Linked DNA regions of Arabidopsis thaliana. The protein of the gene in region 3 purifies or fractionates together with the protein of the main gene of each other region. This does not show direct contact. Each region holds a gene or a part of one and is shown on either strand. Other genes may lie near its edges.

The links.
Region 1: the proteins of IDH1 (region 3) and PKT3 purify together in Arabidopsis thaliana (affinity purification with mass spectrometry, with the first as the bait; one large-scale study listed by BioGRID). This does not show direct contact.
Region 2: the proteins of IDH1 (region 3) and AT1G14810 purify together in Arabidopsis thaliana (affinity purification with mass spectrometry, with the first as the bait; one large-scale study listed by BioGRID). This does not show direct contact.
Region 4: the proteins of IDH1 (region 3) and ASP2 purify together in Arabidopsis thaliana (affinity purification with mass spectrometry, with the first as the bait; one large-scale study listed by BioGRID). This does not show direct contact.

The regions. Positions count from the first base shown.
Region 1 is NC_003071.7:14,046,198-14,054,672, reverse strand, and holds PKT3 (peroxisomal 3-ketoacyl-CoA thiolase 3), read left to right. Parts: upstream 1-3,272; 5' UTR 3,273-3,689; coding exon 3,690-3,779; intron 3,780-4,191; coding exon 4,192-4,268; intron 4,269-4,376; coding exon 4,377-4,461; intron 4,462-4,543; coding exon 4,544-4,670; intron 4,671-4,759; coding exon 4,760-4,858; intron 4,859-4,931; coding exon 4,932-4,999; intron 5,000-5,079; coding exon 5,080-5,187; intron 5,188-5,276; coding exon 5,277-5,354; intron 5,355-5,471; coding exon 5,472-5,604; intron 5,605-5,698; coding exon 5,699-5,795; intron 5,796-5,962; coding exon 5,963-6,086; intron 6,087-6,178; coding exon 6,179-6,287; intron 6,288-6,574; coding exon 6,575-6,658; intron 6,659-6,749; coding exon 6,750-6,859; 3' UTR 6,860-7,195; downstream 7,196-8,475. Other genes in the region: AT2G33160 (glycoside hydrolase family 28 protein / polygalacturonase (pectinase) family protein), read right to left, coding at 1-186, 545-1,269; RALFL18 (ralf-like 18), read left to right, coding at 7,841-8,152. UniProt on the Arabidopsis thaliana protein: Involved in long chain fatty-acid beta-oxidation prior to gluconeogenesis during germination and subsequent seedling growth. Confers sensitivity to 2,4-dichlorophenoxybutiric acid (2,4-DB).
Region 2 is NC_003070.9:5,100,573-5,107,494, forward strand, and holds AT1G14810 (semialdehyde dehydrogenase family protein), read right to left. Parts: upstream 4,279-6,922; 5' UTR 4,062-4,278; coding exon 3,501-4,061; intron 3,389-3,500; coding exon 3,302-3,388; intron 3,201-3,301; coding exon 3,156-3,200; intron 3,061-3,155; coding exon 2,965-3,060; intron 2,869-2,964; coding exon 2,767-2,868; intron 2,732-2,766; exon of another isoform or gene 2,610-2,731; coding exon of another isoform or gene 2,580-2,609; exon of another isoform or gene 2,430-2,579; coding exon 2,275-2,429; intron 2,194-2,274; coding exon 2,112-2,193; 3' UTR 1,987-2,111; coding exon of another isoform or gene 1,866-1,986; 3' UTR 1,852-1,865; downstream 1-1,851. Other genes in the region: AT1G14800 (Nucleic acid-binding, OB-fold-like protein), read left to right, coding at 1-39, 162-282, 448-673, 1,866-1,986; AT1G14820 (Sec14p-like phosphatidylinositol transfer family protein), read right to left, coding at 4,665-4,826, 4,915-5,025, 5,111-5,228, 5,316-5,352, 5,591-5,849, 6,150-6,221.
Region 3 is NC_003075.7:16,771,448-16,778,001, reverse strand, and holds IDH1 (isocitrate dehydrogenase 1), read left to right. Parts: upstream 1-1,630; 5' UTR 1,631-1,768; coding exon 1,769-2,278; intron 2,279-2,398; coding exon 2,399-2,638; intron 2,639-3,054; coding exon 3,055-3,133; intron 3,134-3,233; coding exon 3,234-3,508; 3' UTR 3,509-3,860; downstream 3,861-6,554. Other genes in the region: AT4G35270 (Plant regulator RWP-RK family protein), read left to right, coding at 1-345; HCF244 (NAD(P)-binding Rossmann-fold superfamily protein), read left to right, coding at 4,733-5,119, 5,208-5,306, 5,479-5,673, 5,795-5,887, 5,982-6,077, 6,170-6,310, 6,425-6,554. UniProt on the Arabidopsis thaliana protein: Performs an essential role in the oxidative function of the citric acid cycle.
Region 4 is NC_003076.8:6,595,414-6,603,848, forward strand, and holds ASP2 (aspartate aminotransferase 2), read left to right. Parts: upstream 1-2,557; 5' UTR 2,558-2,787; coding exon 2,788-2,841; intron 2,842-3,183; coding exon 3,184-3,255; intron 3,256-3,369; coding exon 3,370-3,431; intron 3,432-3,525; coding exon 3,526-3,609; intron 3,610-3,734; coding exon 3,735-3,834; intron 3,835-3,929; coding exon 3,930-4,050; intron 4,051-4,325; coding exon 4,326-4,489; intron 4,490-4,632; coding exon 4,633-4,770; intron 4,771-4,907; coding exon 4,908-5,029; intron 5,030-5,392; coding exon 5,393-5,487; intron 5,488-5,601; coding exon 5,602-5,722; intron 5,723-6,099; coding exon 6,100-6,184; 3' UTR 6,185-6,558; downstream 6,559-8,435. Other genes in the region: AT5G19540 (thermosome subunit gamma), read left to right, coding at 335-682, 772-809, 920-1,190, 1,357-1,643, 1,867-2,311; ROPGEF10 (ROP uanine nucleotide exchange factor 10), read left to right, coding at 7,821-8,007.

The DNA.
Region 1 (8,475 bases), on a different chromosome or scaffold from region 3:
ATTTGGATGTTCTCGTACAAGAAATTCGAAACCGAAATCTGCGATACGGACTTAGCCCATGTCTTGATACGTAAACCGTCTGTGGTACCGTTGATAATCGAGTTTCTGACGGTTAAGCCCTGGACGTTCTTCTCCTCTTTATATCTCCCGAGACTCCCGACACTAATACCATGCCCTGGTCCGCATCTGTTGTTGGGAGATATCAAAACATCATATCATATAATAATAGACATAAATATTCGAGAATATTATTATATCTTATAGTTTACATATAGTAAACCAGTAAATAAAATGAAGAATAAATATAAGTATTATTCTCAATTTTTACCAGTTATCTAAAATAAAGAAAAATATTACAGCTCATTCAAAGTTTGTTAAGAAAGAAAAAGTTAAGGAAACAAATCACCTACTAAAGAGGAAAAGAATAAACTAAATGTTCCTCTATTTGTTATTTTCAATTCAAAACCTTCATCATTATTTCTTTAGTTAATTTCAAAGTAACATTTTGCACAGCTAGTGAGATTGAGTCAAGAGTTATATTTACCTGACATCAGAGATATCCAAATTGCTGGTTCCGTCAAGGATTGCGATACAATCGTCACCGGTTCCGATAGTGACGTTGTAGATTTGCATATGGCTAGATTTCCCGATCTTGATTCCGTCGGTATTAGGGCTATCTCCGGGAGCAGTGATGGTAACTCCGGTAATGTTAAAATCCTCAACGGAGAATAAGTTGAAATGCCCCATTTTGCTATTGATGGACCTTAGACCGTTGATCTTCGATGATTTAACAAAAGCAAACCCAATGTTCATAGCTAGTGTACGACAATTAGTGTTTTTGTTACAATCATTGAGAGGCCAAGAATAAGATCCTTGACCGTCAAGTAATCCACCGCCAGTAACAGTGAGATTATCGACGTACTTGAAAAGTATCCATTCTTCTTGGTTGATGGCGTAAGGATTACGAGGAGCCAATAAAGTTCCTCTGATAAAAAAAGTTATAGAGCTTTTGCAAGGACCAGAGAATGTTACTTGACGGAGATAGAATATTCCGGAAGGAATATAGACCGTTGATCTTCCGTAACTCCATTGGCAAGCTTCGTTCCACGCCTTTGTAAACGCAAAAGCGTTATCTCTTTGGCTATCTGCGCGAGCACCATAGTTTCTGACGTCAAAGATTTTTGGTTGGCCGGGATATTCCTTCGTGGAAGCGGCGAGGAAGAAGAAGAGAGAAGGCACACACAAAATCAGAAGAACCCTAGACGCCATTCTCTCTTCTTTGGTTTGGTAACCCTTTTTTGGTTGAAGGAAAATAAAGCGTTTAGGCTTCTTATTTATAGAGTTACAAGATAAGAATATATGTATTTATTTAACAAATATGGGAAACGCAATCTTTACTATCACCCATATGGAAAATACTTAGGAATAATATTATGAAAGGATCCTTTTAAGATGGAATAAGATGATTTTATGTACATATATACTACTAATAAATTATGAAATAAATGTAGGATTCATTCTTTTTCTACTTCTTTTTGCATATCCGCTTGAATCTATATAAATCTGTATAAGTTGGAATGTTTTGACTGTATATTGTGTCACATTACATTATACATTACAGTTCCACGTGGTATTTTTTATGATTTATTAAATTTGTATGTGTTAAATAAATTTATACTTCATTCATATAGATAAGAAATGTATACTTTACAGTTTACATGTGTATTTGTTATTAAAAAAAGATAATATAAAAGAATAAGATATGGGAATGTTTACCCTAAAATCATATATAAGAGATTCAATTATCTTTTTATCTCATTTAATTTTGAGTCAGGAAAAAATATATATACAGAGAAGAAACAAAATTATTAAAAATGTAAAATTTATTGGTTAACATTTTGTCTTTACAAAAAACATAGATATGTTAATATAACGAATATAGTAAATGATAGAATAAAGATATTTAGTATGGTTAAGTAAGAAAATTAACATTTTCAATAATTTCGTCTCTTCTTTGCATAGGATTTGTTTGCCAACTCAAAGTATATTAGATAAAAAGATAAGATTGAAAACTAAAGTTGATAAGATATTATATTGTTTCACAAAAATTAGACATTGGATAGATGTTTAAGATTAAATAATCTTGTTAGAAATAAAACTGAAGTCTATGATGTTGCATGTAAGAGCTAATACAGTAAAATAAAATTATAAATTAATAACATGGGGAATAAAATATTTTATTGATTTATATAAGTGTTAATTTTTAGATGTAGTAAAAATATTGAAAATGACTTTTTCACAAAAATTAAAACAAATTCAAAGAAAAACAAATAACATTTTTATCCAATTACGTTATATATTATATTCGTCCAACTTTGAACCGGAAAAGTTTATTAATTTACAATGATTATTAAATTGACAAGTATTAATATATAGATGTTTCACTCTAATAGGTTAAATGGACAACTATATGCGAAAATATTAGGGCGATATTACAATAATCACAATGTAAAGATAGACAAGCACAATGTAAAGCTGATCACGTACAGTTTTGTTTCTTCCTCTTCAATGTTAATCTCTCCATTCAGTTAGAGTTAATTTCTAGTCTGATACATAACAAAACTACAAAGTTTCTCGAGTTTTTTTGTTATTTGATAACTCTCTACACGATCTAATTTCAATATTACATGTCGGAAAACTTCCGGAAAGTACCACACAAATGTTTGTAAGATTGAGTAAAATTGAGTAAAGAGAGCTTTAATCTCCCATATTTGCAAGTCGATATAAATTTGGTATCACGGCGTGTAAGAGATCTTGACATGCTAACCTTACGCAGATGTGCATTGTTGCAGTGCCATATTGTCATTATTGGTAATATATATGCCTAAGTAAAGTTCATATTGATAAAAATTTTATTCAAACACTATTGCATCTGCTTGTCAATCGCATAATAACATTATTAATTGAAAATGTAGTTTTCACTATTATACAATATCCGTTCTTATTTCGTTTAAACCGGCCGAGCCCATAGTATTGCAAACTATCACACCATATGGGCTTTAACTTTACGTTGGTAAAACGTAAAAAGAAAATAGCGATCAAGTCTCAAGAAGGGTACTTTTAGAATTAATAGCAACTTTAAGGCGTAAATAGAAGTAATACAAATAGTTGGGGTTATTATGTAAATATGAAGAAGATTAAGATCCAGAAGATGGAAATGAAAAACACGGCACGCATTTCAAAGCCCAAAACGGGCGGGGGCAAACGTCACGCCTAATCTTATCTTCTTCTATCACACTCTCAGCTTATCTATGACTATGACTCTCATCATCAATTATTTCACACTATTAACAATCACCAAACCAGTGTGAACATTTTAATTCATAATTAGAGTAAGGTCATTAGGCTAAAAACTGTTTGATTTGGATTTTACAACTATAGGATAAGAACTTGTATCGCTGTCACAGATGATATTTTTTGGTCGTTTAAGCAAAGAAATATTACGAAAAAGAGATATTTTTTATTCTTACTTATTTTGGGATTATCATTTACCCGGAACGGGCAAAGCGGTGAGTCATCTTACCTTATAAATGATCACAAACCCGAGGACTGTGAGTTTTCGTGTAGAACAAATCCTTCTCTGAGAAAAAACAACAGATCCGAATTTTATCTTTAATCAGCCGGAAAAAATGGAGAAAGCGATCGAGAGACAACGCGTTCTTCTTGAGCATCTCCGACCTTCTTCTTCTTCTTCGCACAATTACGAGGCTTCTCTATCTGTAAGCATTCTATCACCACACACTCTCTCTCTCTCGATCTATCGCGATCTTTTGGTTGTCTTCTCTTGTGTTTGCAGTCTGGGGATTATGGATCGTTGTTGATCTGGATTCATTATATGGAATTTTCGATTTTGATTTTGATGCTGAATTATAATTTGATTCGAGGCGTGCCTGTGAGCTGAAAATTTTAAGTTTCAGCTCGATTGAGATCAAATTCAAGACTTGGATTTTGTTTTTGTATTTCGTTCACTGGATTGAGATAGATATCTTTTTTTTTTTTGTTGTTGTTTGATTTTTGTTCGATTGGGTTGAATTATCCGTGCTCTGCATGTACTGATGATTTCTTAAAAGTCAAAGCTTGATTTCAATTACTACGTGTGATCTCTTTAACGTGTTCTTTCCAAATTCCCAGGCTTCTGCTTGCTTGGCTGGGGACAGTGCTGCATATCAGAGGACCTCTCTCTATGGAGATGATGTTGTCATTGTCGCGTAAGTCCCATCTCTTATGCTTTTACTCTTTTGGTATTTGGTTTTTCAGCAACGTATGAAGATTTCTCGTCTCTTTCTGATAGACTTACACTTATTGATCCATTGCAGGGCACATAGGACTCCACTATGCAAGTCCAAACGTGGCAATTTCAAGGATACATATCCCGATGATTTGCTCGCACCTGTTTTGAGGGTCTGTCGCTATCTTTTCTATTCTGTTGTTGGTTTTTATTTCCTTTCTACGTCTATTTATAGATAGTTCTTCCTTGACATAGGCATTGATAGAGAAGACGAATCTAAACCCAAGTGAAGTAGGTGACATTGTTGTGGGTACTGTTTTGGCACCTGGATCTCAGAGAGCCAGTGAATGCAGGATGGCTGCGTTCTATGCTGGTTTCCCTGGTATGTTTCTTCTATGTACAGTACAATACAATGGTGAAAAGTCTTTGTTTTTATTTCCTGTATGCTCATCCTGTTATGTTCATTTGCAGAAACCGTGGCTGTCAGAACTGTGAATAGACAGTGCTCATCTGGGCTTCAGGCTGTTGCTGATGTAGCCGCTGCCATTAAAGCGGGATTTTATGACATTGGTTAGTGAATAACCGTCTTTAACTACGCCACATTTTTTCATAGAGAACCGAGCTGACGATATGATGGATGCAGGTATCGGGGCTGGTTTGGAGTCCATGACTACCAATCCAATGGCATGGGAAGGGTCAGTCAACCCAGCGGTACTGATTCTCTCTTATCTGGAGTCTTACTTGGCTCTGTTATTTTAATACGTACTATAATACGGACTATGTTATTTCAGGTGAAGAAGTTTGCACAAGCGCAGAATTGTCTTCTTCCTATGGGTGTTACGTCAGAAAATGTAGCACAACGCTTTGGTGTCTCAAGGCAGGAGCAAGATCAAGCTGCTGTAAGGGAACTGAACTTTTTCAGTATGGTTGTATTTTAAATAACCTATAACTTTGATCGCTATGCTAAGCTATGGAGTCATATTGCTAGGTTGACTCGCACAGAAAGGCAGCTGCTGCTACTGCTGCTGGTAAATTCAAGGATGAGATCATTCCTGTTAAGACCAAGGTATTTTTCAGATCCTTCATACAATAACTGTAACATTTAAGACTTCTCTTGGTGGATTAGTTACTGAACTTCATTCATGTTCTAGTATTAGTCAATAACGTGTGTTTTAAATTTCAGCTTGTTGACCCGAAGACTGGTGATGAGAAACCCATTACAGTTTCTGTTGATGATGGTATCCGACCAACCACAACTCTTGCTTCTCTTGGGAAGCTGAAGCCAGTGTTTAAGAAGGATGGCACCACTACTGCTGGTACTTTTCCCGAATCAATTGTTTCATTATGGAAACCACAGTTCTTATTATCACAATTTTAAATCCATTGCTTCATTTGTTCTGTCGCAAACAGGAAATTCCAGCCAAGTAAGTGATGGTGCAGGAGCGGTTCTCCTAATGAAGAGAAGTGTTGCAATGCAAAAAGGACTTCCCGTTCTTGGTGTATTCAGGTGGGTAATAATTACTTACAAAGCTACGACTGTGGAAGTCTGAAAACCGAAAAAACTGCAGAGGCTTGTGATTTCCATTTACACAGATATGCTAGTATACGTGGAAAATACATTGTTCTTTCTGTATTTGGCTTTTTCTAAGTAGCACACTATTGGACATATTGCAGGACATTTGCTGCAGTTGGTGTTGACCCTGCAATCATGGGTATCGGTCCAGCAGTTGCCATTCCTGCTGCAGTTAAGGCGGCTGGTTTAGAACTTGATGACATCGACTTGTTTGAGATCAATGAGGTATATAGCAAACAATTTCATGATCTTCTTATCACATATCTCTTCCCGCACATTCTGATGATGACCATCTGTTTGAATCCTTGTGTGTTCAGGCATTTGCATCTCAGTTTGTTTATTGCCGTAACAAATTGGGACTTGACCCAGAGAAAATCAATGTCAACGGAGGTGCAATGGCCATAGGCCATCCTTTGGGCGCTACAGGTATATCTGTTAAGAACAGGACTAAAACTGTTAAGCTTGTTCCAATTTACCAAACCATAGAGACTTGAATTAATGAGAATCTCTCAACTCTCAACCAAACCTTAAGAAATCCACAGCCGAGATATATCTTTATAAACTCTGTCCTCACTAATGGTTCTTTAACCAACTTACAAGAGCTCTATCTTGCCGCAGTCCGTCCTTTTCAAAGCATATCAATGTCTACATTGTGTCTATATAATTATAAAACGCTCATGAACAGTTGCTAATACTTGTTAAAACTCTCACAGGAGCGCGTTGTGTTGCTACATTGTTGCACGAGATGAAACGCCGTGGTAAAGACTGCCGTTTTGGAGTAGTGTCAATGTGCATTGGTATGCTTCTCACTCGAATAATTCATTGTGAATTTGGTGTCTGAAATATGTGTCTGAGGGATGGTTTTACTGATTTGGTAAACTCTGGCAGGGACGGGGATGGGTGCAGCAGCTGTGTTTGAGAGAGGAGATGGAGTTGATGAGCTTCGCAACGCAAGGAAAGTTGAAGCGCAAGGTCTTTTGTCCAAGGACGCTCGCTAGAGAGGACCATGCACCAAAACCGTTTTTCACCTCACCTCTCTCTTTTCTGGTCTTCTTGTCACTTTCTTCAGATATTATTATAGTTTCGAATAAAGCACACAACCAATGTTTGCCTGAGTCTTGTGTTGTTCTTGACCAGGTCATGTGTTTAGTATTTTTTTTAAGTGAAGGGGGATAATCTTTAAATCTTTTATATGTAAGAATATTGTTCTTCTCGAATTTCATCAGTTGTTGCTTCTAGAAATTTTAGATTTTTTGGGTGGCAGCCATTTCTATATTTCGATGGATAAGTCAAACGTTCATAAAGTCAAGGGTTCTGCCTTTTGTTTGTGTTTCATGATTTTACCTTGAATTTCATTAACTAAAACAGTGTTAATAGTAACAGTTGGGGTGGTGGCGCAGTTGGCTAGCGCGTAGGTCTCATAGCTACTGAGTGATCCTGAGGTCGAGAGTTCGAGCCTCTCTCACCCCATAATTTTATTTTCTCATAGCTATTTATATAACGTTCCTTCTAGTATTTTTTTTTCTTTTCGTTATAGTATCTTGTCTTTGATACCGGAGACGTTATAACGGCAGTATAAGACGTTATAATCATGTTCCAATGCATCCCCTCAGTTTTGTGTTAAAAACGAGCCATCAATGTTATCATATATGGAAATCATTATTGAGGCTTTGACCAATTAATTATGCGAATTGACCGACTTTGATCACTATACAGAGCAAAACAAATCCACTGAATCATTTATTTGTGTAGGTTCATCTTTTTTGGGCACCGTATTCATTTCTTATTCCATGAATTTGACGGAGTAATTTTGATTTTCTTTTTCGAGTAAGAATCTGGTCAAATATTCGATGAACCTCTACAAAAAAAATTAACCTCTATAAAAGTGTAGATTAACCAAGTGTTTCATCACAAACCATTTCAACGTAAACGAAACAACAACTACTACTCTCAACTTTACACTCTCTTGATAAGTCTCGATGATGAATAACATGAAGCTCTTGATCATCGCTGTGATGATCATCTCGGCAGCTTTGCTTCCAGCGCTTGTGGTCGGATCTCGTCCGGTAAAATGTGACAATTGCATGGACGGTGGAGAAAAAGAAGAGATCATGAAGATGAGTTCAGGTGTAGATGTGAGCCATAGGATACTTCAAGCTAAGAGATTTATAGATTACGAAGCATTGAAGAAAAACTTACCAGCCAAACCAGATGGTAAACCGGATAAACCGGATAACAAATACCGACGTGGTTGCAGTGCCGCTACAGGATGTTACCGCTTTACAAATTAAACATAAACCACCTCTCTCTTCTTCTTCTTCTTCCTTTCGTTGGTGTGTTTTATTTTATTTTTAATTAGTATTTCCAATCACATTTCTTATTATTATATTTTATTGCAATTTGTAAGCCTTTGAGGCATTATCTCCTAGAGAGTTAGAATAAACTTCGTTTAGAAATTGTCATCCTTTTCTCACCAAATGATTGACGAGTGAAAATTGATCTCATCGTAAAGTATTTTTGCGGTCAAGTTCAAACAAATTGATCCCTTCTCTCGCACCATATTCTTGTTTTATTTTATTTAAACGATCGATATATTTCCAAACCATTCCTCCAA
Region 2 (6,922 bases), on a different chromosome or scaffold from region 3:
AGCAGAGGAGCTAGAGAACGAGCTGAGGAGCTTGAAGACGTTTTAATATGGATTTCTTCGTCCTTTTTTCCTTGAGATGCCTCTCTATTTATAGAAAAACTAAGCTGGTGATAGGATCATGGACCAACTTTTATGGGCTTTTTGGGCTTGATGTTGATTAGTTTATTCTTGATTTGGGCCGAGCTAAAATGAGGGGTGCAATCCATCCCCCAACATGCCCCATGGAGCTTTCCGTATTTTTCTTCCCCAGAAGCTCAAACATCAACAGTTATTCACTAAAAGGTACTTAAATACATGGCTTAATTCCTACAAAATTCTACTACTTGCAATTAAATTCATACTTTTAATATCTCAAATCGAAATTGTAACTGGAGAAAAGCAAAAACCTCCTATAGATCTTCCTTTAAATTACTATAAAATCATCATCTCCTATACTAGGTGCATCAGCAAACGATGAACGCGTGCTCAAAACCCTTAATCTTGCTCCGTTGGTGAAGAAACCGTTATCATGCCGCAAACACCATCTTATTATGAAGAAATGTCTTGCCAACAACAACCCGGATGCTCACTACATAAAAGGTATAATATGGTACTTTAACCTTGATCATTGTGACGTTGGTCTCCACCATATTGGCATAGCAGCTAACGGAGGCCAGAAAGAAGCAATCTACATGTATGTCATGCTATTATTATGTAGAGGAAGGACTGAAGAGGGAAAAACCTATATGAGCCAACTTGAATGGGCTAAAGACACCACCATGGCTGAAACGTGTTGGAAACAAATCAAAACTTCACTAAATGGGATTAGAGTGGCGAGAAAAAGATGCTACATGATATCACTTCGCAACATGAAACCCCCCGACGTGTGCCATCCAAGAAATTTGGACAACACATGTGAGAAATGTTTTTTCTACAAACAAATGTTTAAGTTTATTTTTATGGTATAACTTAAACAAAACAACTAGAGAGTTGGAAACTGTTTTTAAAAAATTCCCTATAATGTTTGTGGCAGTGAACTATCACAAAGACTCAAAACAAAGTAAAAGTTATTACTCTTATTTCTTTTGCTTTAATGTGTGTCATTCCTTGCTGTTATAAGGAAATTTATATTTACAATAAAATCAAACTTTTAATTAATTATCTAAGCATATCGTACTTTCAATGTTAATATTGTTATAATCCAACTCTTTTTGGCTAATTCGCGAAGAGACGTTGAAAAGTGAAATCTTCCCCAAACCAAAGAGTAGTTTCTAAGATTTTAACAGAGACACAAAGAGAAAAAACAAATGGGCGGGTTCATATTGGGCCAAAATTAACAATGGCAACGATGTGTAAAATAACTTCGTCGTTAGTCTCTGTTCTTCGCTATCCTCTGCAGCAACCGCTTAATGCGAGAGAGAGAGAGATTTCCATTGTATTTTTAATTTAAAATAAAATATATAAAAACAAGACCAATGTAACAAATGCATTGCTTAGATATATATAACTCTAAAAAATATTCTTACAAGATAGTAAGTTTGGTCTATTATCCTATAAATTCTAGCATATAACCGGTAACAACATGAAAAAAAAATGTAAAACTATACATAGATTACAAAAATGTAGAAATCAAAAGATAAGATTAGCAAATAACAAAGATATTCCCTTTTTAATCAAAGATCAGTAAAAAAAATCGAAGTGGTTAGTGCATACTAACAAAACCAAAAACAAAACCAAAAACAACGCGGGTCTCCTCCCTAGTCTTAGTAACGAAGGAGTGATTTTAGGATTTGATAATATCCACTAAACAAGTAAATATTTGCTATAACTATCAATAAAGTGGGCCCCCACTGGTTCAGTCTTCAGTGTGTCAAATAATTGTGGAGCCCGGTTGTCTTCGGTGAGATCAACCAAGTCGGTACAGATTCGAACCGGAAAATTGCCAAGAGGTTCAAGCGTGTGCATGATGAGTTCAGATTTAAGAGACAACTTTATGAATCAAAGTAACAAAATTGGTCAAAATAGAAAACTCACAGAACAAAAAATGAGACAAATTCTTGGCTCAAATCTAATAATACAGTGATCTCTTTGTCAAGAATTTCATAAGAAGCAAAGTGAGAGCGGGTTCAAATTCAGAGAAGCATCTCAGCGATCTGAACAGCATTCAGAGCAGCTCCTTTGCGTATTTGGTCTCCACAAACGAATATGTCCAGCCTGAATTCACAAAGTTATATCCTTTTAGGCATATCGCAAAGACATTTGCTTCAAATTCAGTAGAAAAGAGTGAGACTTTACCCGAAATTGCCATCTTGAGACACGTCTCGCCTTATCCTACCAACCGCTACATCGTCTTTGTTAGAGACATCGAGTGGAGTAGGGAAAGTATTTGAAGCACGGTCATCTATTATATAAACTCCAGGTGCTTTCTTCAGTATCTCCCTTGCTGTGTTCTGTTATGATACAGTAAGAAAAACCGTTATAACCTGAATAAGAACTTGATCATAAGATTCTTTTAATTGCGCAACAAGAATCACAATACATGCTACCAGAGCAAGTCCAAAGAACAACTTCAGGGTTTAACTCTGCAAGTGCATCAAGAACTATCCAAGCCTACTTATGCTGATTACATGCTGCTCCACATTTTTCAATGGCTTGAGTTAAATTAAAACCATAGAATGTGGTTTAAAACTTCAAATTATGATTCAAATTGTCATATCAGTGAGTGAAATCATAAGGTAACACAACAACACAGAATCAGTAGAAATCGGGTTCGACGTGTGTTATTACCTCATCAAGAGGATTCTCAAACTGAAGATTCACACTCTCTGCATGAGCACGCATAACTGGAACACGTATACACGTTGCTGTTACTTTTACTTCTGTGTCATTCTGTGAAGGGCAAGAAATTGGTGTGAGATATCTAAAATTTTTGAACAAAAGATCAAAGTGAAATGAACACAAAATAGCACTTAAGTAACCACTCACCCAGATCTTCCTTGTCTCCTTCACAAGTTTCATTTCCTCTTCGTTGTAACCGTTGTCAAGAATAGGAGCATTATGTGAAAACAAGTTAAATGCATACTGCAGAACAACATACAAAACCATCACATTACTCAAAAAGGGATTTCATAATCAGCACATTCGAAATACAAACTATAAGCAAATTAAGCACTCACCTGCTGCCCGAAGATGTTACAAGTCGGAGGTTTACCCTCTAAAACCTAAGAAAACACACCAATGCAAAGAAGACGAAGAAGCAGAATCACAACTCAGCACAATCATTAAACAATTCAATCAAAGAAGGCTGAAATAGAAACAAAACCTCACGAGTCTGCTGAACAAGCTCTTCCATAGCTGCAGCACCAGCACCACTAGCTGCTTGATATGTACTAACCACCATTCTCTTCACCTATTATAGCCAATCAAACATTATTCAGAGCACTAAAGTCTAAAGCTTCCATTGATTCTCTAACTACCCTTCAAAATTTTGGACTAAGCAGATTTCAGAATAAAAATCGAACCTTTGCGTGATGATGAAGAGGCGTAACAGCCATCAAACAGATAATGGTGGAGCAATTAGGGTTTGCAATCAAAGCCCCTTTGCCCATTCCAACTTTGATCCCTTTCATTGCTTCTGGATTCACTTCAGGAATCACAAGCGGAACTCCATCAACCATTCTAAAAGCCGAGCTATTATCAACAACAATGGTTCCTTTCTCCGCCGCCAGAGGACCAAACTCTTTGCTTATGGATCCACCAGCACTGAACAAAGCTATGTCTACACCGTTGAAGCTATCCGCCGTGAGCTCCTCCACCGTGTATTCATGGCCATCGAAGGCAACACGCTTCCCTGCGGAGCGTTTCGATGCAAGCATCTTGATGGAGCTATAAGGGAAGTCTCGATCGGATAAGACGGAGAGGAATTCTTGTCCGACGGCTCCGGTAACGCCAACGACGGCGAGTGAAGGCGCAGATTCTTGGAGAGACATTTTGACTCTTGCGGAGAAGTGTCTAGGTTTAGCTCTGAGAGGAAGGCGAGAGAGGAAATGGGTTTGTGGGGTTTGATGAGTGAACGTCGCCATTGTCGCCGCCGTGAGGAAGAAGAAGTGAGAGACAGAGAGATAGAGAGATTTTGGAGGCGGCTGATAGAAAAAAGCTTGGGACTTTAAAGTGTGTTAGTGAATTGACCAACATCTTCAAAATTCAAAACAGCAAGATTGTTTAATTTAAGATACAGAAACAGCATGATGTTTGAAACTGCTCATTCACCAGATTGAGTATATTCACACAACTTTCTCATGTGTTTCATCATTTCTTCTTTTGGAAATATTAAGTTGTTGAAAAGTCTTTTGTCATATAACAAGGCTTAGGGATCATATTTAAGAGCTCGTGATTCTGGTTTTTAGCTCAAAGACATCTATAGCTAACTTTGGAATCTTACACGTACAACAAGAGGACATTAAGTTTCTAGAAGTTAGTCTGGTCTGTTGATCAATCCTGCTTTACAGCTTACTTATGATGTGAATAAGAAAAGATAAGCAAGAGCGAGCACTCAGTCACCAGATTGAATATATTCGCATTACTTTCTCATGTTTTCATTGCTTCTTTTGGAAATTTAGAGATGTACCACTAGTTATGTTCTGACCATTACAAATATTCAGGTTAATGCTTCCAAAAATAAAGAGCTAAACATTATTGTTTGTTAGAGTTACTGGAGCAGCCTGAGGAAGAAGAACATCTTGGATTGCTGTGAGCTTAGCTCGGCCACCGTACTCTTCCGGTAAAGCATCTGCTCCGATCTCCTCCTCGAATTTTCTCTGTTCTTCTCCATCCGTAACTATCACAATCTATGCAACAGCAAAATCATAATTTATGTGATTCGTTGCTCAAGAACCATTAGAGATAGATACATCAAGAGGAGATTAAAGATCAAACCTTTTCCTGAGTTGCTTTCTCTAGAAAACGGCAGACGAATTTCCAAACGGTCACGAAGAATCCGGGCATATGCAAAATGTAGCATTTTGCAAGGCGTTCCGGGTAGTAAGACTAGAGAAACATTTTCCAAATTTAATAGACAGGACTTCTTTTTGTGTGATAACTATATTGTTTCAGGAAGAAGGGAGATGCTTACTTGTAAGAATTGAAAGCCAGTGATCAATCCACGAGCATCAAGGTTCTTGTATGTAATGTTTGCCAGATCAATAACGGCTACTAATTTCTCACCTCCAACTTCTTTGCCATTGTTGCCACTGAAACATAAAAACCAAAAAGCTTGTCTCACAACCAACTAACCGGAAGATTATTGAAGTGTTTTGGTTTCAATAATGTGTAAACACCTTGCGATTGTTTTGTCTAGCGCATAAACAACAAACTCTGCAACATCAAACAGATAAAAGATTAGTTCATAGATAATTATCGCAAGAATCAACTCAAGGAAAACACATAGATGGACTCAAAAAACTTCATTCATTTGAAGTCAAATGAAACTACTCAATAATTAGAGAACCAGGAAAGAAGCTGATCAGTTCTATGAATACAAAAGTCACTGAAAGTCAAGGGACAGATTATTTCCAACGAAAGTAAAGGTCAGAAGCAAGTGAGAGGTGATTACTCTTGAAGTTAGCTGGATCCTTAGAAGCAAAATGCTTAGAGGTTATGACAAGCACCAATGGGTGTCCGGATTTGGTCGGACCCTGAAGACAGACCTTTCTGAATTCCAATTCATCCTGCACTTCTGACTCAGGGATGAATCCAGTTGGAGGAACCATGGAGGCTCTCCATTTTTGCCAATCTACAAACATCTTTGCTGCCTTGACTGGGTCCATTGATCTTGCCACCAGGAACCTCATCAATGTTGGTTTGTCATATCCCTTTTCAGAGGAAACAACAACAACAAAAACCATTGATGAGATTTTCTGATTATGGATTCACTTTTACTAAACTGTCTCTACTGTTAGGGTTTCTGATGGGAGGCTCAAACCTAATCAGACAAACCACTATGACGAGAATGGAGACAGAGTTTTAACAGTGTAGCCCATATAAAACCCATCAAAATCAAATGACAGATATTTCTCATTTTCTAACGAGACATTGTCAGTGAAACTCATGAAACGGCCAAAAGATGCAAGCTTTGTAAACTGTAATGAAACTAAAGCGTCGAATTAGATTACCTCAGTAGAAGAAGAGAGTTTCTCGACCGATTTTCTCAACTGGGTCAAGGCAAGTTCTTGGCTTTCCTCCATGATCTTTGGCTCTCTCAGATCCTAAAAAAATCTCACAGAGAAATAAAGAGAGAGCCTTTTGTGGTCCGTACAGACGCACGATAAAGTAAGTTGAAAAAGTAAAGAGCTTTGATGTTGACAAAGACCCAGAAGCCACAGGAAGAAGAAACAGACAAAGTATTGGGTACTTGTCTCTACGGTAAGTGGATAGAAATAACTCAATAAGCCTTTCCCCAACTCGCTGCAATTAATGGGCAGCTGGAAGTTGAAGCTCTCTCTTTGACTTTTGTTTCTACTACTTTGACGATTTAAAACAGCTGTGATGATTACATTGCTTTTTAACTCCTAAATCCCGAATCTTAAGGCTTACTTAAAGTTCTTTTAATCATTTTTCTGATCAACCATGTGAAACAGGCTTTGTTAACGGTTATACATTTAGCTGCTTGTTCTTAATTGAGCATTGGAAATTCAGTTCTAACGATTTTTATTGTTTGTGACAGAAGAAAAGTCCTTTAGGTTAATAAGTTGTTCTATCTACATGAGATGTACATTAAATTTTCAAGAAAGATTAGCTTCTTTGTCATCTATTTGTTTTTAAACTTGAACTGGATCCAAATACAGTAATGGCACAAGTGGAGACCAATTGAATAAAAATCAAAGATTAGCTTCCTTTTTGTCTAATGTAAAGAGTGCGACTTCAAAATATGTCTTAACTGTTCTAA
Region 3 (6,554 bases):
CCGGAGAATAGTAGCAGGAAGTTGAAAGCTGGAGGGGCCTCAAAAGTGAAAGCCACATTTGGTGAAGCCAAAGTACGGTTTACTTTGCTTCCTACTTGGGGCTTCAGAGAGTTGCAGCATGAGATTGCTAGGCGTTTTAACATAGATAATATTGCACCCTTTGATCTTAAGTACCTGGATGATGACAAGGAATGGGTTCTTCTGACATGTGAAGCGGATCTCGAGGAATGTATCGACATTTATAGATCATCACAGAGCCGCACGATCAAGATAAGTGTTCATGAAGCTTCTCAAGTCAAGCTGGGAGGTTCTTTTGGTAGCATCGGTCTTGGTCCCTCGTTATAAGCTATCAGGTATAAGGTTGTTACCTGCAAGAAAAGAAAAGAAAAGAGCAGGAGATTCGACTAATTTACTAGTGTGTTAGAAAAATATTACTCACCATTTTATAGCAATGGGCATCGTTTGTAAACATATTTTCAGTGCCCCCATTTTGCAAGCAGCAGTAGTGGACTGGTTTCCTGCATCGGCTTAGCAGATTTTTTGTATAATAAGGCGATGCGTACCAGAGAAACATGCTTATATGTATGTATTATTATTGTCTGTACATCATTTGTCTTCTGGATTCTACTAAGCTCTGCAAGTATGTTAAATTGATATATCTTCTACATCGTCACTTGTATTTATTTTCTTACTTAACTATGCATGAAATTCTTAAGGGTGCTTTTTGGGGCATCAAAGCTTACTGTGTACAAACATTACAGTCAATAAGGAGTTAGTATTCAGAAAGAAACAAGAAAAAACATTATGCCAGTTTGAAAGTAAGAAAAGGCTAGACGTTTTACTTATATAGGCAATGATAGTCATATAAACACAGAAGCTATTTTTGGCAGAAAAAGTAGAGAAGAAAGTGTATACTTGGATGGTGAGGACACATGATATTTATAGAGATTCTCTTGGTTTTTAAGCAGGAATATGTGTTCAAGAGAGAGAACCACCTAGTGGAGTGATCTTCCAAGTTCCTAACCAGAGTATCTCTGTTAAATCCTCAAATCAGTATTTGTTAAAGAAACAAGTAAGCCTGCAGACAAAAGGTTCTCGTTTTGGTTTGTTTTTGTTTCTTTCTGATTCAGTGAGTGACACAAAGGAAGATATTGATCCTGAACCTATCATTGCCACCTAAACTTCAGAGACAGGAGAAAACAACATGGAAAACAAAAAACCTATGTCAAGAGAATCAGACCAAGTGTACCTGATTGTACCATTTGGTACTAAAAATCAGGATGACGAAGGAGTTGATTCACGTGACTATGCTTCGAATCTCTTAACATTGCCAATCTCCGTGTTTCTAAGACTTCTTTCACCAAAGCCTTGATGAAATTCGAGGGTGCAAGTTATGATTTTGCAAATAATGTAGTACTCTGCATGATCAATGATTTTGCGGCAATTTTGTAAATATCTGAAGTGAAAAATAAGCAAATGTCAAACTAAATTAATTACTGAGTAAATGTTGATGAAGTTAAATGATTGGGGGGATTTGTATAAATATCTTAATTGACGATTCTGAAACAAAGTGGTCTAATCGGTGATTATCTATTGTTTTATGGAAATATCTTAATGAGATGAAGATTTTGGGGCGAATTGTGTAAATAACTAAATTTTAACAATAAACGCTTTTCGTCCGCCTCCAGCTCCCAAAAGCCAAAGGGCGAATCTTCTTCTTCTCTTTCGATCAAATCTTTTCAGATTCAACCCAAAATTGAAGACAAAAATGTCTCGCAGATCGCTAACTCTCCTCAAGAATCTAGCTAGAAACGCGAATGGATCAGGTATTCAAACCCGATCCGTGACTTACATGCCCAGACCCGGTGACGGAGCACCACGCGCAGTGACGCTGATCCCCGGAGATGGAATCGGTCCTCTGGTGACGAACGCCGTGGAACAGGTGATGGAAGCGATGCACGCTCCGATCTTCTTCGAGAAGTACGATGTTCACGGAGAAATGAGCCGTGTGCCGCCGGAAGTGATGGAGTCGATAAGGAAGAATAAGGTTTGTTTGAAAGGTGGGCTTAAGACTCCTGTTGGTGGTGGTGTTAGTTCTCTTAACGTCCAGCTTAGGAAAGAGCTTGACCTCTTTGCTTCTCTGGTCAACTGTTTTAATTTGCCTGGTTTACCTACTCGCCATGAGAATGTTGACATCGTTGTCATCAGAGAGAACACTGAAGGTGAGTACGCGGGGCTTGAGCACGAGGTTGTTCCTGGTGTCGTTGAGAGTCTGAAGGTGAGAATTCCGATTTCTGCTCCTCGTTTTGGATTCAATCTGTATTTGTGGAATCATCTTCGTTTGCAAGTGGTCTTTGTATGTTATGTGTGATTGTTCTGATCCTATTTCTATGCTTAGGTGATCACGAAGTTCTGTTCGGAGCGTATTGCAAAGTATGCTTTTGAGTATGCCTACCTGAACAACAGGAAGAAAGTTACAGCGGTGCATAAGGCTAACATCATGAAACTTGCGGATGGTTTGTTCTTGGAATCTTGTCGCGAGGTTGCGAAAAAGTATCCCAGCATCACCTACAATGAAATCATTGTTGATAACTGCTGTATGCAACTTGTAGCCAAACCAGAGCAATTCGATGTCATGGTATGTTTCAGAGTTATATACATATGAATTTTCATGACGTTCTTTAAGTCTTCGATGTTTTACTTTGAGAAAAAGATACCAGTCATCTCTCCCTAGTTTGGTATCCCTCTAGATTGCCTGTTTTAGAGTCATATTATCTTATTGGTATGAGACTGATGTTGTGTTGCCATATACTATAGTTAATCGCCCCATTTGCATACTATTTAATCTCGTCATTTGCATATCATGCTTTCAGGGAATCTTTTAAATTGTACTTCTGTGACCTTGTCTATGTATACTTACTACTTTGCATACACTATTGTTCGTTAGAGCAGTAACTTCACTGTTGCTAAGTATTAACCTTTCATTACTGTATGTAGTAGCGTCTTTTGGCTTTTCCCCCCTTTTATAACAGCAATTTATGAAATGTTTTGCAGGTAACGCCGAATCTCTATGGGAATTTAGTTGCAAACACTGCTGCTGGTATTGCTGGAGGCACAGGAGTCATGCCTGGAGGTAAAAAAACATCCTGTATTGATATTCTCTCGAGCTATACATTAGTGGATAAAGAATAGTTCTAAAATTTATACATCTGCGACATTAAATACAAAAACAGGAAATGTTGGGGCTGACCATGCGGTATTCGAGCAAGGTGCATCAGCAGGAAATGTTGGGAAAGACAAGATAGTATTGGAAAACAAAGCAAACCCAGTGGCATTGCTTCTCTCATCAGCGATGATGCTTAGACACCTTCAGTTTCCTTCATTTGCTGACCGGCTCGAAACAGCAGTGAAGAAAGTCATCGCTGAAGGAAAGTGCCGGACGAAAGATCTTGGTGGAACAAGCACGACTCAAGAGGTCGTTGATGCGGTCATTGCAAAACTAGACTGACTTTGACAAATTACGTGTTCCCGCTCTGCATAAATCATCAAATTCCTGATACAGATTTTGTGTTGCCAAAATATGGGGTATGATCCAAGCACAACGGTTATCTGGTTTTGTACCTCGAGTTTTATTATATTCTTTAGCCGTGGAATATTTCGATAAGAAAAAAAAACATGTTCCAAATAATTCATGTTGCTACGTTTGTTGGCGCCTTTTGTCATGTCAAAGTTTCTTAAACACTTGTTCGTGGAATATGCAAACTTTTATGGATTCGTAATTTCAAGAATATGAATGAAAAATTGATGGTATCTTTGATCACCTCGAATGGTGGTTTCTTAAGAGCATCCACATTGGTTAATTTTTGATGGATGTTTTTAAATATAAAACTTTATTTTAAGAGGTTTTTGAGTAGTTAAGAAACTCTAACGTGTCATTGTGTGTGTGGTTGAACATTGTGACAACATCATTTATTTATTTTTCTTTTCGCGTTTTTCTCTCTTTTTTAGTCCATATGATTTTTAATATATATATCATATTTGTTTAAAATTTTAATATTTGTATTATTTATTAAGTTTTATAAAATAAAATATAAATAATTTTTATTTTAATAATAATATATTTTTTTAAAAGACCCACTTAAACATTAGACCAAAAAAAATTAATGGTCCAACAAAAACACTTTAATTTTTTATAATTTAAAATTTTAAAAAACCCTTTTAAGGGCTCAACCATTGGGGTTGCTCTTACTCCAAGTCTTTAATTTAATTTGTGAATTAACATTGACTAATTTTAAAATCACTTGAAATTGTTTCATCGGATTTGGGATGTCACATTTGGTACCCGGCAAGTTCGAAAATGACTTTTAAACTTTGACACCTCTTGCCTCTTGGTAGAGTTTTGGATGAGGCTTGAAACTTTTGTATTGCAGCCCATAACTGAAAATAGTTTATTAGTATAATATATCTTCTCAACAAACATTGCAAATATTTTGAAAATCCAGCTAAAACTATACCCGATCAGAATTAGAAAATTTGAGCCCAAGCCCGGCCCGTAAGTATTATTATAGAAACCGATATAAAGTTTCCTTTTTCTTAATAATATTTATTCCGTGGCAGCAAATGCAAGCCAATCCAATGTCAAAACACCAGCTGACGTGGCCAAACGCACATCAACTGTCGTCTCTCTATCTCTCTCTCCCTCACTTGTCTCTCTCTCTTCTCTTCGACACTGATGGCTTCGCTCAGGCTCCCCGCTCAACTAGTTACACGTGGCAATCTCATCCACCACAACTCTTCATCCTCCTCCTCCGGGCGTCTGTCTTGGCGACGTTCTCTCACACCGGAAAATACAATCCCGCTCTTCCCATCTTCCTCATCCTCATCCCTTAACCGGGAACGATCAATAGTAGTTCCGGTTACATGCAGTGCTGCAGCGGTTAATCTTGCTCCGGGGACACCAGTCCGACCCACGAGCATCTTGGTGGTTGGAGCCACTGGAACTTTGGGAAGACAAATCGTCCGGAGAGCTTTAGATGAAGGGTATGATGTTAGGTGTTTGGTCCGACCAAGACCAGCTCCCGCCGATTTCCTCCGTGATTGGGGCGCCACCGTAGTCAATGTACGTATTCACATCTTCCTTTAAAGTTACTCAAAGTATTTAAATTTGTCCAAAAGAGAACTAAAACCGGAGTTTTGTGTGGTCTTAGGCGGATCTTAGTAAACCGGAGACAATTCCGGCGACTTTGGTCGGGATTCACACTGTAATTGATTGTGCCACGGGACGTCCTGAAGAACCTATCAAGACGGTAAGCTTCTAAATTATATCTTTTTGTTAAAGACTCAATCTTTAGCCTAGTGAGACTTATTAAAGTTTGATTGGCTTGTGTGTCTAATACTCAGTTTCATGCCTTGGCTTGTACGTTTGAGTGTTGGATTCAGTTTTCCAATGTGATTGAAAGTTATGTGTGTTCGGTTTAGGTAGATTGGGAAGGAAAAGTTGCTCTGATACAATGTGCAAAGGCAATGGGGATTCAGAAATACGTCTTTTACTCAATCCACAATTGCGATAAGCATCCTGAGGTTCCTCTCATGGAGATTAAGTACTGCACTGAGAAGTTTCTTCAGGAATCTGGTTTAAACCACATCACCATTCGGTTATGTGGTTTCATGCAAGTAAGCCTCATTCCCCTGAACTTATGCGTCTAGTTGTCCCTGAAAGTGAGTACATGATGTTGAATGTGGTAATGGCTGATTGTTGTTTAATCCAGAGTATACTATGCCTATGGCTATGCAGGGTCTTATTGGTCAATATGCAGTTCCAATTCTGGAGGAGAAATCGGTTTGGGGAACAGATGCACCAACGCGTGTTGCTTACATGGACACACAGGTGAGTAATCAAATGAAGATGTACTCCATTTCTCTGTGTAATATGTGGATGAAACACATAAAATGATCTAAACATGTTCCTCATGCTATAACAGGATATTGCTAGGCTGACACTTATAGCTTTACGTAATGAGAAGATCAATGGAAAACTTCTGACTTTCGCTGGCCCTCGTGCATGGACAACACAAGAAGTAAGCAAGGCTATAGTTACCGCTCTTTTGAATGAAAGGAATAGAGAAATATTACTAAAGCATAACCTTTTACTACCCTTTTGTCAATTCAGGTGATAACACTATGTGAGAGACTTGCTGGGCAAGATGCAAATGTCACAACCGTTCCAGTTTCTGTATTGAGAGTCACGCGTCAGTTAACTCGGTTCTTTCAATGGACAAATGATGTCGCGGATAGACTGGCCTTCTCAGAGGTAAGATTTGGCCTTCATCACCAAACAATGATGCTTTTGTAGTTTGTTTCATAGTAGCTTTTCAGATCAGCTGAAATCATGCTTCTAACATATGTGTGACACTGGTACGTTTAGGTTCTCTCGAGTGACACGGTCTTCTCTGCTCCGATGACTGAGACTAATAGTCTACTAGGTGTGGATCAGAAGGATATGGTGACTCTAGAGAAGTACTTGCAGGATTACTTCAGCAACATATTGAAGAAAC
Region 4 (8,435 bases), on a different chromosome or scaffold from region 3:
AACAAAATTGGCATTTAGCAAAAACCCAAAATGAAAAACATATGGCTAATTTAAAAGTTCCCAATGATTTATGGTTTCTGTTGTCCCATATAGATTTATGAACAAGGAATAGACCATATTTTACTCTCTTGGTTTAGAACTGGTTTGGTTAAATCATATTCAGTTATTTGGTTCGGTTTACTAAGTAATTCACCGAATTTTTTTTTGTGGCCGAAGTAGAAACGTGTAAACTTCCTCTGGTTGAAAAATGGCGAAATATCTTCTCCACATCACACACTAGTTCTTCTTCTGCTCAATCTCAACTATCCCGTAAAACAAAAACGAGGGAGGAACCATGGCGGTGAGCTCATTCGCCGTCCTTCCTCCATTTGGTTCCTCATACAGCTCCACAACCGATAGATCTTCTTCTTCTTCGTTTTACTCATCTTCGAAACTTCTCCGCATATCTCAATACCGGTTCCAGTCAAATTCCCGTTGTCCAAATGTGTTCGTCTCGTGCTCACTGAATCAGCCTTCTGATGATGCTTCCGACGCCGCCCTTTTTCTCGAATCCAATTCAATTGCTGATTACATGCGGTTCAAACGCCGTCCCGACCCCGGAAATGGTACCAGCGAGTTGCAGACTGCAATCGTGAGTTACAAGAAACGTTTCCCTTGGATTCTTCTCAACCCTTTTCTTCAGGTTACATCACCATCTCTGTTACTTGCTGGGTTTCCATTTAAATCGATAAAGGTAACATTTTTATCGATTTCATCATCTCTATATTGCAGGTGGATTTGGTCTCAACTATTCATATTGCAGATAAAGAGTGAGTCTTTCTTCTATTGCTCGTAATTTGTTTATATCACTAGTGAGTTTGATTAAGTTTTAATTAGTTTCTTGTGTGGTGATATATGTGGATTGGGTTTGGGTGTGTAGGTACTTCACAACTCTTCAGAAGGAGCTTGAACCATATGATTCTATCTTGTATGAGATGGTGGCTAGTAAAGAGACCTTGGAAAACAGGAGAAACCCTATTGCATCTAAGAGGCTCAAGAGTTCTCGTTCAAGAGGTTTCAGTATTCTTGGGTTCATTCAGCGGCAGATGGCAAGAGTACTAACACTTGATTTTCAGCTAGATTGTCTAGATTACGATACTGAGAATTGGTACCATGCTGATCTCGATTTCGAGACATTCCAGTTGCTTCAGGTTTGTTTCCAAAGAACAGAAGTGCCTGTCTTTAGTTGTTGCTTGTTCTCTGTCATTTTTGAGTAATATTCTTTGGTTTCCGCATTGGCCTGTATCATGGTTGTATTATTTGGGAGTGAGAACTATCAGTTGAATGATGATTAAACCTGTATCATATTTGTTGCAGAAGGAGAAAGGAGAAAGCTTCTTCTCATTTGCCAGGGACATGACTATTAGATCAACAAAAGCAATGATACAGCCAGCTTTGGTAACTGAAGGTCGTGATACTTGGAGGTCAAAGCTTCTATGGGTTTCACGGGTTTTTCCTATGCCTCTTGTGGGTCTTTTCCTAATCGGGGCTTTTTGTGCTGACTTTGGAGATCAGACCTCAGACTATCCAGAATTAGAAGCACTTTCACGGCTTGACTTTGGAGCTGCTATGAAGGTTTTCCTTGCTAAGAGATTGACATCCGAGTAAGTCCGGTCTTGTTCATGATTCTGAAGTTGTTTTTCTTTTGCTGATCTAAACTTGGGATATGTGCTCTACTTGACACATTTCTTACCATTTGAATTGTGTATGTGCTTCAAAGATAGGGCAAGGCAGAGTAGTTTTTTTCTTATTTTCTTAGAACATGCAAATATATGTAAGGCTAGTAGGAAGTTAACTATTCTATTATTTTTTGTTGTTGTTGTGAAGGCTAACACTAGAGACATCAGATATAGAGGAAAAATCTGTCATCATTGGTGAGAGAAACCGAGCAGCTACGGAAGCTTTAAGAAGAGCAATAGAGCAAGGACACAAGAGAATTGGAATTCTATATGGCGGAGGCCACATGCCCGACCTGGGAAGACGACTGAGAGAAGAGTTTGATCTTGTTCCTTCAGAGGTAAGATGGGTAACAGCTTGGTCCATCAGAAATCCAACGGACTTGGAGACTAGTTCATATCCGATTCTGAGGAAAATGGCAGAGGCTTTGCGTTGGCCACTAAACCGGTACCAAACATTGGCATTGCTAATATTTTCATCTGTACTTGCACTGGATCTCTGCTTTTGGGAGCTCTTCTTTGGTTCGACAATTGACTGGGCTACCCAGATAGGTGCAGAGTTATACCAGTTTATAGATAATACAAAAATTGTATGACGCAGCACAGAATCATGTACAAACAGTGTCAAATACCTTTTACAGTGTCCCAAGTCTCTCTGTTGTAAAGCAAACATGGCTCTGATGTCAAAGAAATCTATTGAATAGGTAACTCTAGTTGTTTTTGGTTTGATGATAATGTTTTTATGAAGAAAAAAAAATTACTTAATAAATGGAAATTAGAATTCAGACAAAGAAAAACGACAAAAAAAAAAAAAGAAGTCAGACAAAGAAAAAAGGAATTGGAATATTTCTCGTATAAAAAAAAAATGTAAATAAAATTTCTCGACTTGTTGGGCAAGTTCAAGCATCGCCCACAGTTGCCAAATCGCAATATAGGCGCCCACAGCTAAAAGTTGATTCTCAAAACCTCTCTCTCTTTGTGAACAAGATTAAAAAGACGACTTCTCTTTTAACTTATTCCTCCTCTGCTTCTTCAAGATCCATTGTCTGCAATTTCAATCCCTTGTCTCGTCATGGATTCCGTCTTCTCTAACGTTGCTCGTGCTCCCGAAGATCCTATTCTCGGTGTATGTCGCTTCTCTGTTTGATCTCCTCTTACTTTTTTCGCGTTTTAGTTGATTTTTTATTCCGTCTTTGCTTCGATCTCACTCGGTTATCCGAAATCATGACGGTTATATCTGATTTTAGTGCGTCTCTACTTTTTTTCCGTCTGATCGGAGAGAGTTGGGATTTGATTTCTCTGTGTTTTACTCGATTTGGATATGATTCTTATTTGGCTACTGGGAATTAGAAGACATATGACTCTCGATGATCTACTGGCACAGTGAATATTATTAGTCTGTGTGATCAATGATTTGATTATTAGTTTTTAGTAACGTTTTTGAGAGTTAATGATTTGTTGAAAACAGGTAACTGTTGCTTACAACAATGATCCTAGTCCTGTTAAGATCAATTTGGGTGTCGGTGCCTACCGAACTGAGGTAATTTTTCGATTTCTGCTTAAACTGTTAAGCAACTTTATGGTATCAATTGTTTCTACTAGCCAGTTTTTGAAAGCTCAGGTTTTGATTAGTTTGTTTCTCTTTTTTTCAAAGGAAGGGAAGCCTCTTGTTCTTGATGTGGTGCGTAAGGCAGAGCAACAGCTAGTGAACGATCCGTGAGTTGAAGAACATTGTCACTAATTCGTGTAGTTGTCTCTTCTTATTCTTGTTTTTTGCTAATGCCTAAATTCTTTTCTCTACTTCTCTAAGGTCTCGGGTCAAGGAATACATTCCCATTGTTGGTATTTCCGATTTTAACAAGTTAAGCGCCAAGCTCATCTTAGGTGCTGACAGGTAATCATCTATACTGTTTATTTGTTATCTTTTCATTTGTGTTTTGCTTTGTTTCTCTTGTGACATAATATCCCCTTTAGTTGATAAAGTTTAATATTTTATAAATATTCTTGTTTTGTTGGCAGTCCTGCGATTACAGAAAGTAGAGTTACTACAGTCCAGTGCTTGTCTGGTACTGGTTCGTTGAGAGTTGGGGCTGAGTTTCTCAAAACACACTACCACCAAGTAAACTTCTCTCTATTTAGTTTTTTATTATATTTGACAGTCATTGAATTATGTAATCAAACAAGTGTTGCTTACTATGGTTCTCATCCTTCCAGAGTGTCATTTACATTCCAAAACCAACTTGGGGGAACCATCCCAAAGTTTTCAACTTGGCAGGCTTGTCTGTGGAGTATTTCCGCTACTATGATCCTGCAACCCGTGGTCTTGACTTCAAAGGTTGATTCTTAACTTTCCATTAATTTTTGTTTTCATCTTCATGTGGTTGCACTGACATTAATTTAGTCATGGTTATTGCTTGATTATCCATCTACTCTACTTTTCCTGTGTTTTCCTTGATATAACCACAATGAAATTATTTCTGTAAGTTTAATGATCGTATTTTGACAATTCTATGTTTGAAATTTGAGTAAGGAAAGAAATCTCAAGATTGCACTCTGTCAAAGTAAAATGGCATTTGATACAAACATTGACCTTTGATGCCAAAAAAACAGGCTTGCTCGAGGATCTTGGCGCTGCACCATCTGGAGCTATTGTCTTACTTCATGCATGTGCACACAATCCCACTGGAGTTGACCCAACCTCTGAACAGTGGGAACAGATTCGACAGCTGATGAGATCTAAAAGCTTATTACCCTTTTTTGATAGTGCATATCAGGTAGCACTCATAAAGGAAGTCTTGCTTTGTTGCTTTATTCAATGGTGGTTTACAAACAAATGAACCCCGTTATAGTGTATGCTTGAATCTTATCTAATGTAGAAAAATAGCAGCCTGACTCATTTTTCCTAACACTTTTGCAGGGTTTTGCTAGTGGTAGCCTTGACACAGATGCACAATCTGTCCGTACATTTGTTGCTGATGGCGGTGAATGCTTGATAGCTCAAAGTTACGCCAAAAATATGGGACTTTATGGGGAGCGTGTTGGTGCCCTTAGCATTGTAAGGAACCAAACTTCTCAATTTCTTATTCGCTTCTATTCATTTGACATTATGGTTAGTCAAAAAGTTCATCTAATGGATAGTACAAGAATACAGTATTCAAAAATTGCATCTAATCTGTGTGATATAATGTGAAGGTCTGCAAGTCAGCAGATGTGGCTAGTAAGGTTGAGAGCCAGGTGAAGCTTGTTGTGCGGCCCATGTATTCGAGCCCCCCTATTCATGGAGCATCAATTGTTGCCACCATTCTAAAAAGCAGGTACATGATTATCATGCTTTAGTTTACAATTACTTTGAATATATTATGTTGGAGAAGGAACCTTTAAACCGGAGTTAGTATAGTAAAATTACATTTTTAGATTATTACATACAAGATATATGTATACATTGAAAGCTGACATTAAAAATTAATAGGCAAGTGGAAAGAGAGATCCCTACTGATCTTCCATACGCAGTAATTTGATAGTTTATGCTGTGTTGAAATGGTTATGCCAAGTTTCTTTTTCTATGGAATCATGCATATATCACAAACATTTTCCTTTGCTTTATCAAGCTTATAATGAATATCTATGGAATTAGGTTCTGCTCTAAGTTTCTAAAATTTCTTTGTATATATTGGCAGTGATATGTACAACAACTGGACCATCGAGCTGAAAGAAATGGCTGACCGTATAAAGAGCATGCGCCAACAGTTATTTGAAGCTATACAAGCTAGAGGTTTATTATTAATTCCTTTCCTCTCTTATTTTTCACTCTGTTTATCTTCTTTTCCATGTTTGCAGAATCATTACTCTGCAGTTTTTTGTTCTTGACACGTTGTCTGGATTGCAGGTACACCTGGTGACTGGAGTCATATTATCAAACAGATTGGGATGTTTACATTTACTGGATTGAACAAGGAGCAAGTTGAATTCATGACCAAAGAGTTCCACATTTACATGACCTCTGATGGGTGAGTCAACTTATATTTTCTTTTCGATAATTTTAGGAATATGAGTGAGTTTGGTTTCTGCTATGCCTAAAACCATAAGTATATATGACATGAAGTATTTCTAAGAGGTCCTAAAATACTTTCGCCAAACTCTCTTAGTTGTAAGAGTATTAGCAGTAATAACCAGATATATATAGAACTAGATCCACAGGTTTCATTATGTTCTTCTTAGGCATGTGAACCAAGATAGTTGCTTTGATATTTTGAGAAAGTGAGATATGACATCATATTCTTGCTAGTGAAATTATAGTTGCATGAAGCAAAGGATATTAGAAAATACCAGATTTGTAAGTTTTCTGAGCTTCAAATTGAAAAAGGGTTACTTTGTTGTATTGCAGGAGAATAAGCATGGCAGGTCTAAGTTCGAAGACAGTGCCTCACCTTGCCGATGCTATGCATGCTGCAGTGACCCGCCTCGGCTAAACTAGCGACCATACATTTTTTTGCTGTTTCTACAAATAAAATGGGACAAAAAAAAAGAACACCGTTTTTGTTGGCTTATATACTATGGTTTTTTTCTGATGGTACCATATGTTTCCTCATGTCTTTTGACTAAAGATGGTTGAACCAAAACCAAAGTGAGGATTGTGACATTGAGATCTACCGTTTCTAAGAAAATATTGGTTACTTTAATTTGCCACCAACAATTGTTATTTTGCAGAATTTTCAAATGTCCTGTTATTTTATTTGCTGAGAGATCCTTATAGTTTGGTTCTCGCTGGAAAAAAATAAGTTTTGGGAAGTTTGGCACACCTAAGAAGAAGTATGATTTGTATTAGAAAAAAAAATACTTGTCGGAATACTCTCTAATTGGTCCATCTCTTAAAATATCACATAAACATAATTTTCAAATGAAGCAATCGATCGTTTGGAATTGTAAGGGACATATAGTGAACATGAAAGATAAGAAAATGTAAAACGGAATGAGGTTATATGGTTTTTTGTATTTAATTAGTTTTCTTTTGTTTCTTTAATGAAAACTTGTTTCAATGTGTCCATTTATAGGTAGACTCATTTGTTTAAGCCGCTTGATAAAAAAAAATGTCAATGCAATATTTATACATCAGTGAGTGGATGAGAAAATGGTCATAAACACCACTTTTCAAAGTGATAAATTACACGACGTGATTAAACGATTAAAGCAGTATTATAAGATATTGAAATCAAATCTTTTAAATTAGTAGGATAAACAGAAATGTTTAGACTTGGTAAAGAGTCGCCGTGTTACATGCCTCCATGCTACTGTTGCACTAACGAATTAGTCAAAATCTGATTTTAAAATTCGATTGTCTCTCTTTTTAAGTTATTAAGTTTGTAAATTCCAGCTATATTTGATCCATAGTCTTACTTAATTCGAGATCAGGCTTAAACAATAACGATCCACAAAACATAAATTATCCCTCTCCAAGTTTATAGCACATAGGATTCTAACTCGGTCCGGCGGGTAACTCTAAAACATCATTTTTCTAATCGGTTGAGCCAGTCACATTTTTGTAGACATATTTTATTTAGAAAATGTTCTTACAAGCTCATTTAACGAAATGTGGATTAGTTCAAATAACGAACAATTTTCTTACACGAAATTGTTCCAGTGAATCAAAACCTGAGCAGCGTGAGGTAAAATTCTAAACAAATGAAAGATAAAATAAATTAAGGAAAAGTCGGAGTATCTTTAACCGCCCTTCCACTATTTATCTTTTGTTTGTTTTTTGAAAACATGGACCGCACGTTGTCTCTCCAGCCCTAGAAAACTACTTCAACATTTCTCTGTTTCATTCATTTTGCACCAACTAAAAAACAAAAACATAAAACAACTGGAAAGAAAAAAGTACAGAACATAAAGTAGTTTTGTTTCATTCGGTGGTGAAAGAACAGAGACAAGGGAGAGCTAAAGGACTAGTTGCTTGATCTGTACGTCTCTTTTGCTTTCTTCTCTTCCATTTTGTGGATTTCATTTGCTTTGTTTTCTTTTATATAATACGATCTGAGACAAGAAAAAAGAAGAGAGAAATATAAAAAAGTGTGTGGAGAGATATAAATTGAGAGGAGTAAATTGGGAATGGTGCGGACATTAGGACGTAAACTAAGCTGGCCAAGATCTTTTAGTTTTAGAAAGATGTTCGATGGTCGGAACTCTGGACATTCATCTTTCTCTTCTCGTGGGGATGGCATGCATACACCCGAGCACGAACTCGCCGGACATGCTGCACCATCCACTCGTAGAGGCAAGCAAAATAGGAGATCAGGTAACATATTAGTGCAAGTTTATTTGGTAAATGGTAATGGCAAAATTTTAATTTAATGGAAATGAAAATTTTATTTCGAGATAATATAATGGTAGAAAGAAAACTTTAGGTGAAAGAATTTCTAAAAAATATCCATTTCATATTTTCGTAAATATATCCATTGCACCAATAATTAATTAATGCTCCAATTAATGATAATGTAGAATCTCTAAATCATTTATTACCCGCTTATATATATTGACCGAAATAAGAAGTCCTCATTTTATAAATTATATATAGACAGGAAAATGATATTATTGCACGGAAAAAAATTATGTGATCCGCAATAATTAATTATTGCTAAATTTGATAACCACATAAACGAATAAAATGTTATCCCAAAACCACAATGAATTAGATGTATTAATATCTTCATTAGATGTATTGTA